Daphnia pulex: one gene and its partner. The protein of the gene in region 2 binds, or shares a complex with, the protein of the main gene of each other region. Links are inferred from orthologs where the notes say so. Each region holds a gene or a part of one and is shown on either strand. Other genes may lie near its edges.

The links.
Region 1: transcriptional adapter 3-B-like (region 2) and transcriptional adapter 1-like share a complex: the UniProt entries of both Homo sapiens proteins name them as parts of the STAGA transcription coactivator-HAT complex. The link is inferred for Daphnia pulex from reciprocal best matches to the Homo sapiens genes TADA3 and TADA1.

The regions. Positions count from the first base shown.
Region 1 is NC_060023.1:11,640,426-11,643,943, forward strand, and holds transcriptional adapter 1-like, read left to right. Parts: upstream 1-1,399; 5' UTR 1,400-1,491; coding exon 1,492-1,559; intron 1,560-1,618; coding exon 1,619-1,655; intron 1,656-1,714; coding exon 1,715-2,002; intron 2,003-2,069; coding exon 2,070-2,428; intron 2,429-2,498; coding exon 2,499-2,664; intron 2,665-2,730; coding exon 2,731-2,814; 3' UTR 2,815-2,981; downstream 2,982-3,518. Other genes in the region: large proline-rich protein BAG6-like, read right to left, coding at 1-83, 143-371, 434-586, 656-773, 843-911; WD repeat-containing protein 5, read right to left, coding at 3,049-3,149, 3,244-3,331, 3,391-3,471. UniProt on the Homo sapiens protein: Probably involved in transcriptional regulation.
Region 2 is NC_060019.1:11,487,465-11,491,495, forward strand, and holds transcriptional adapter 3-B-like, read right to left. Parts: upstream 2,723-4,031; 5' UTR 2,571-2,722; coding exon 2,390-2,570; intron 2,315-2,389; coding exon 2,178-2,314; intron 2,105-2,177; coding exon 1,973-2,104; intron 1,910-1,972; coding exon 1,766-1,909; intron 1,689-1,765; coding exon 1,474-1,688; intron 1,409-1,473; coding exon 1,284-1,408; intron 1,218-1,283; coding exon 1,087-1,217; intron 1,030-1,086; coding exon 871-1,029; intron 801-870; coding exon 657-800; 3' UTR 567-656; downstream 1-566. Other genes in the region: protein OPI10 homolog, read left to right, coding at 35-477. UniProt on the Homo sapiens protein: Functions as a component of the PCAF complex. The PCAF complex is capable of efficiently acetylating histones in a nucleosomal context. The PCAF complex could be considered as the human version of the yeast SAGA complex.

The DNA of each region.
Region 1 (3,518 bases), on a different chromosome or scaffold from region 2:
GAGGCCCTTGCACCCGAAAACCAAACGATCCTTGAACTGCTGGTGATCCATTAGGTCCTTGCAACACGGCAATATTGTTTGCCCTGATAAAAAGAAACGTAACTAACATTTTTAGTTTTTTAGTTTGGAGGTTTGTCATTACCCCAAGGATTGAACAGTTGAAAATGCAGCAGCTATAGCAGTGGCAGCCTGTGCTTGAACCATTTGTATGGATGAGTAGGGTCCCTCAGCAGTATTATCCATTGTAAAGAGTGAACCAGTGCTGGGAACTGAACTGATCCTTCCCAAACTCTGTGAGGCATCCTCCAGCATGTGTCTGGCTGTATTCAAACGCAACAGAGAACTACTTCCGGCTGGAGCTGGTACTGAACCTTCATTTGATCGTAAACATTGTTATTGAGATTTCTACTTTTAATAATGATGAGAAATTTACCAAATGAATGATTGGCACCATTTTGAAACCCTCTGTCTAGGTGGTAGTGAATGTTTCCTGGTCTAGATCCTTGAGTTCTTGGTGGTCCTGAAGGAGGATTACCAACTGTTGGAGGTGCTCTCTGGACCAAGTGAATGACTTTTCCACTCAGGTCTGTAAAACACAAAAACATTTACATGCCAATCATTTGTTTTGAGCTAGGAAAGAGTATTTTCAATTTACCATATTCACTGAGCTTTTTGTCATCTTGAAGAACTCTGCCACAGTAAATCAAACGCTGAGTCTCTGCTGGTGTTCCTACATCCCCAGCAATGTGTTCTTTAAGTTCCTTGACTGTGAGCTGCAAAACAGAAATCCAGTTAGTTTCCCCTATCTAAAACTCACGAGTCGTTTCTTTTAATGGTCTTACCTCCTCTGAAACTGTGAATTTATGATTACGCGAATCGAGGGTTTTGACGGTAACTTCAATATTTGCCATTTTTGTTTAGCTTTCACCACCTCGAGTTCCAACCTCGCTGTAGTTTGGTGACGATACAGACACACTAATAATAATTATTCGGTTTCAGTATTTTTTATTTTACCGATCTAACCGGACGGCTCTGAACCGACGTCAGTTGTGTAATGGGTGTCGAAATGTAAATCTCTAACGTGGAAAACTGGAAATCGGGCCTGTAATAATACACGATAACAAATAGAGGCGCAACTGTCTCCACATCGAATCGACACGACACGACACAGCCGACAATTCATAGGCTTACGAACCAAGTTGTGTTACAACGCCACCTATTTCTCTTGGTTTTAAACCGTAAAAGAGGAATTCACTTCAATTTCATGATAATTTGTACATTTTACGAACAAGATTTTATCTAATTTTACACGTTATATTTATCAATGACAAATTCAAGGAAAAAATTATTTTATGAAAATCAATTCCTGGAATGAGCACCATCTTTTGGTGGTTTTCGATAGTCGAGGCAAGACAGGTGTAGACGAAATCCAATGGCGAGTTAAATCTAAAAAAGTGAGCGAAGCAGTTCAAAAGTCAGAACACAACAACAATGAATGCACTTGATGTTAACGAAGCCAGGAAACGGTTGGTGGATGTTTTGGGAGATTCTTCTAAGAAGTAAATAAATCAGATTTGATATTTGTGGTGGTATATCTCTAATATCATGTTTTATTTAGTTATTTTGCCCACCTGAAATCGTGGTTTTGTATGAGGGTAAGAAATGTTTCTTTTATACTATCCATTCAGTCATAACTGACATTCTCTCTATTTAGACAAGCAAAGAAGAGTTTGATCGCCAAGCCAGATTGTACCTGAAAGTAGACCAAGTTCATCTTCACAATGAGTTTCTTTTGGCCATTGTTACAAAATGTCAAAGCTTGTGCCAGCCTTCAACCTATGTCTATCATGGTGTGAAGCAAAAGCCAATTGTTGTCACTGAAGTGAACAAAATCAGACCACATACCATTCCTCTACAGAAACGTAATTCTGTTGAAATCAAACCGATCACTGTGACAAGACAAGTTTACCCAAAGAACAAGCCTCTCACTGTCAACTTTGATGTAATATGTCTTAATTATTGGAATTTTCATTGGAGACCTTGATTAACATAATTCTTTTCTTATCTAGAATCGATTCCAACCAGTGAATCCAGTTTCTCTGTTACCATTTTCTGCTCCTTGCACTGTAGAGAAACCACAGCTTCGTTACTGCAGCCAGGATCTAATTTTACCTGACGCTGGACTCGTTCACGGTCGAATGCTAGTAGCAGCTTGGGATGCTGGTTTGGATCATGGTTGTGAAGACAAAGCCATCAAACTGATACTGGCAGCTACCAAGCAATTTCTTAAAGAACTGATAATTGCTATCATAACAAACCGGAAAGGGTACCGCCTTCGAGAGAACAAAGTCATCTATTCGGTTGGCCAACCTACAATTAATCCGTGGCTACACAATTCATGGTCCATCCAAGACAGTACCAGTAACAGGTAAATATTTATTGTACAGTCCTATTCTTTTTCAACAACAATGTTTCTAAGTGTTCTCATTTTAAATCAGTTATCTGACCGAAATTTCGCAAGCTGCGGAACCACCTCACGTTCCTGCCATACCCCAAACATCTCAGAAAGCAGAGCGGGATTCCGCATTCTACCTAGCGTGCACTACCGAACAAGTTACCGCACTTCAACCGATTTCCGTTCTTGACGTTTTTCAAACTTTACAAGTAAGTCGATATTTAATTTCAAAACTTCAAACTAATCCTCATGTTTCTTTATTGAATAAACAATAGGTTAAAAAGGGCGTCATTCCCTGGCACACAGTGCACGCCGTCAATATGGAACGCATTTCACAGCGCCTCTATCACCCCAATTAAACTCGAATCTACTTGCTTAAAGAAATTATAACGATTAAAAAAAAAGATGTTTGTATTGTCGACGAGGAGGCCATGAGAAGTCAAGAATGCCAGGAAACTTTTTTATACCAAGAAATTGCATTTTTTTTTCCTCAAAATTCTCCTATAAAGTACACACCTCAAAACTGCTTTTCATCGTCTTTTTTCCCATTATTTTTTGTTGTTGGTTCATTGCGACAAAGCTAAATGCGCGGTCTACGTGTCGGAACGCCAGAGCTTGATAGTCTTATCGTTCTCCAATGCAGCAGATGCGATGATATTATCGGTCGGATGGCATGCAGTACACAGCACGACATCTAGAATGAAACATGAAGGGATATAAGTTCGCGTGTGACGTCTAGACAAATTAAATGTGAAAGAAGGAGCAGGTCCCCCGGTAGGAAGCCTTACCGGTGTGTCCTTGAAGTTTCTGAACAATTTCCTTCGTTTGCAAGTTCCAAATATAAACCATGTTGTCTTCAGAGCCGGAAACGATCCACTGCAGAAAGAAAAACATGTTCAAGTAAAAGAATGAAACGTGGATTGTTAAAGCAGTACTTTTCCTCCAGTAACCGAAAAATTGGCAAAGATGCAATATTTCTCGTTTTTGTGGCCGGTGTAGGTTTTCAAGCATTTGCCCTGAAACGAGCCAAAGAAAAAAGAATGGTAAAATCTGCAAAAATCTT
Region 2 (4,031 bases):
ATTTTAAAATACCACAAAATAATTTTTTTAATAGTGTACTTCAGGTGGCCCGAGCCAGATCTATCAGCCCCACCAGTGTGGCAACTACTAGGTAACCTCACCAATAACAAACCGTCAAGCATTTACAAAATCACTGGCTTGAAGAAGAATCCGGGAAGTTATAGCCCTAGTATGTTTGGGGTGCACCAGGGGGAAATACATCATCATGCTCAAATAGGGATTTCAATTGAGCCTCTTAGCCTCATTTCCAATCAATCTCCTAGTGCCATTACAGAGCCTAGTAGCACCACAACATTCCAGGAGTTTGCTGAACGTACTCTTCAAAATCTTTTCAATTATGCAGCAAGTTTTGCTGTTACTCAATCACAAATGACACCAAATCCATCAGAAAGTTTCATCCCAATGTCTGTTTTAAGAAACTGGTACACTAACTTTATTAGAAAACTAGAATTGAATCCTCAGTTTTGGAGAAGTTGAAAGAATTCTTATTAAATTCTTATCAACTTCAAGTAACCTCAACTTTTCATTGTTGAATACATGCTAATTGATTTAAGTAATAAACAAGGCTTGTTAAAAGTTTATATTGTTATGCAAAGTTCAATTAACCATCTTAGTTCATCTTCATCACACACGTCTTGTATTGTTTGAAAAAATATTTACATACTAGTCGTTCCCGTGTCCAGCTGTTTGACAATCGCTTCACGATCACGAAGTATTTTCCACATCTGATCTTTTTCTTTTTTGCTTAACGGGCGTTTTTTTTGTTTAGCGGCAGCCATTTTACGATATACGTCTAATACCTATTCAAAAGAAGTTGGGAATAATGTAGACGAGCTCGATAAGCAGAGATGACACTTGAAAAATGAATACCTCAGCGTCCGCTGCAATCAATTTTTTCCGTATTTCCTGACGTTTCATTTCTTCTTGACTGAGGCGGTACAGTCGTTTCAGTTGTTTCAAGTTGTGCAGTGATATGGCCCTCAATTCTCCTTGGCATCGACGTAACTCCGTCAATATTTCATCATCGGCCTTAATCAGGGGGTTAATAATACTACCTCTGAAATGTGTTTTGAATGAATAAATTACCGAATTAACGTTGGCTTCTTCGGAAGTTAAAATGCCTTGTTCTTCTAACTCTTGACGAATACGACGTTCAAGTGCAGCAGCTTGAGGTCCATTCATTGCTGCCTTCGTGCCAGTAGATTTCGCGTTTTCGTCTGTTACAGTAATTTCGAACCGCTAGTTGGCATTAGTTTTAAACAGGAAAACAATGAACAATATACCTTGCCCTTCTGATTCCATTGTGTCCTGCACAGAAGTTACAATATTTTCTTCTAAAAGAGCTGAAATGAGACGCTGGGTCATGGGTCCGCACATCCCCGTCGCAGATGTAGTATTTGTTTCAGCACTGAGTTATTAAATCTATCGTTAAGCAATATGCGGCTATTAGAAAAAAAAATATTAATTTTTTACTTGTTTTTAGCTGCTGTGTCCATTAATCTTTGAGCCTCTTCCGTTCCTACAGAAGATCCAGAGGTAATCTTCTTTTTCTCGCCGAAACGAGAGCCCTCTCTTTGCTCCTGAAGTAAATCATCTTCTGCCCACCGAAGTGTATAGTGGCGACCGAGAGGAGGAATTTTGAGGTATTCTTCATCCTCATTATGAGTTGAGATTAGTTCTTCTACTAGCTTTAGTTAAAACATCAATTACCACAAGAAAAAAAATTTAATTCCAAGTTATGTTAATCTTATACAAATCATTTTACCTTTAAATCATCATCTGTAAAAAGAGCACAGTATGGTTCTACAGAAGCCCAAAATTTGTTTGGTGTATCATTTTTGGCAGTTGATGTCTTCATTAATTCTAAAGGAGGCATTTCCTCAACAACTCCTTCTGGTGGGATAGGCTTCTATAAAATCAAAGAGATCATTACTTGACTGTAAATAAAACTACTTTTCATGAAACTAGGTACAGCTAGAGCAGATTTAATTTTCATCTGCTTTAAAAGTGGAGGTGTGTGTGCATCTCTAAGCTTTCCTGGTTGATCTTTGAACTTTTTAGGTGAACGCTCTTCTTGTTTTGATCGTTTTCCAGGAGATGGAGGCTAAAAAAAAACACATAGTGTTGTTGGCAAACAGAAAATAGACACAAGATGAAAAAAAAACTTTGATGAATACCTTTTCAGTCATTCCTGCAATTTCTCTCTGTAAATTTAAGGAACGCAAAACAACACAATTGAGTAGTGTTTCTAGTTCCATTTGTAAGGTGTCCAAATCATCCATCATAACACCCCCTTCTTCTGATCTAGCCGTAACTATAAACAATTGATTATATTTATATCTTTGTTAATTAGAAAACCAACAGAAAAACAAAAAAAATTAGTTCTTACTGGATGTGAAACGAGGTAAAACCTTTCCATAGTCGACAGCTCGGACATCAGCTAGAGTAACTTCTTCATCTGAGTCCTCAGGTTCTGAAACTCTTTCCCTTTTGACTTTAGTGGCTGACGTTGAACCTTTGACATTTGTAGCTCCTTTTCCTTTGGAGATATTACCTTTACCCGGAACCATTTTTCGGCCCAAATTTTAAATTTGACAAGACAATTCACGTACGAATGTACGATTTACGTTGTTTACTTGTCAAAAAAGCTTGGACTAGAATCGATACCTAACTTTCAAACTTTCGATTCGATATTTCGATTTACAACGTAAGAGAGAAAATGAGACTGGGTATTCGTCAAACGATAGCAGCGCCTCCTTGAATGGTTTAATGAAAACTTTGGATAACTTAAACCGTTTAAGTCGAAAGAGAAAAGACAATCAAAGTCTAATATATTTTTTTAAATTACTTGTTAAAAATATTTGAACGCAGTTTTCGAAATAATAAAATCAGGGAAATTGCAACTCAAAGTTTTAGACTTGATTTTCAAATTTTTCAAATTTTCATGTATTTCTTTAATGAATGCAGAATGCTTAATATAAATTTGTATGATATTTTATCGATTTCATTTAACTACAAATTCCATAGGCCAATGTATTTATTTAATTTAGTTGGTGTTTCACTATATTATTATGTGGCCGTTATGTCTGAAACAGCGCTAGTTTCAGGGCTGTAAAATTCCCTCGTCTGCGGGTCTCCAGTCTTCTTTTCTCTGGTGTTTTCAGTTTATTCCAATATGGCTACCGAGTGAAAAGGCAACGAGTTTTTGTGACACTAACATTATCTACGTTTCATGACAGTTTATTGTCTGTTTGAAATTAAAGTTTGAATCTGCGGCCTATCAGAGAGGAATTCCAGACCGAACTTCGTGAAGTGCAATTTATTTTTTCTACAAATAGCTGTGGAAACCTTGTTTTTCTTCATATTGTGATATGTGTGGGCTACACCATCTGTGTCACTTGCTTTGAAGAACCCAAAGGGGGGTCGAGTGCGTGTGGGGACATCCTTCGTTTTCAATAATTATTGAAGAATCCTGAGTTTCCTTGAAACAGCCATTTTTCAGTGACATTTTAGACACAATTTTCCAGTTCGCTCCTACTGCTTTGTGTGTACTGCAGCTATCCGTTCATTTCAAGGTAAGGAGACCGCTGTGTTGCACAATCATAAAAGTTCTGGATGGTGAAACATGACACCTTCATAATCAAAGCATGTTCTCAAAATTCCTCTCTTCGTTTCATAATTAGCACAGGTTTTTTTATACCATCCTGCCTAGTAAACCTTGAGTAATCTTGTGTGACATGCAGCAGTCTGACCCTAATTTATCCAAACAGTAGCATTCGTATGAGAGGCAGATATCAGGTGGTAAAATTTGATAGTGAGTTCATTTGGAAGTGAATTGTTTCTTTTTGCGACGATTGCAAATGGGTGGGGGGTTGCACAGCTGTACATGCGTTGGCGGGGTTGAAATAGGGCATGGGGGAATCTGTAGCTCAGGTATTGATCACGTCAGGAGGGAGGAAAAAGAGGAAGGGAAGGAGGAGTGGGGGTTGAATCCGACGACGGCACTTGGACTTGTGCGCAGCGTCCAAACA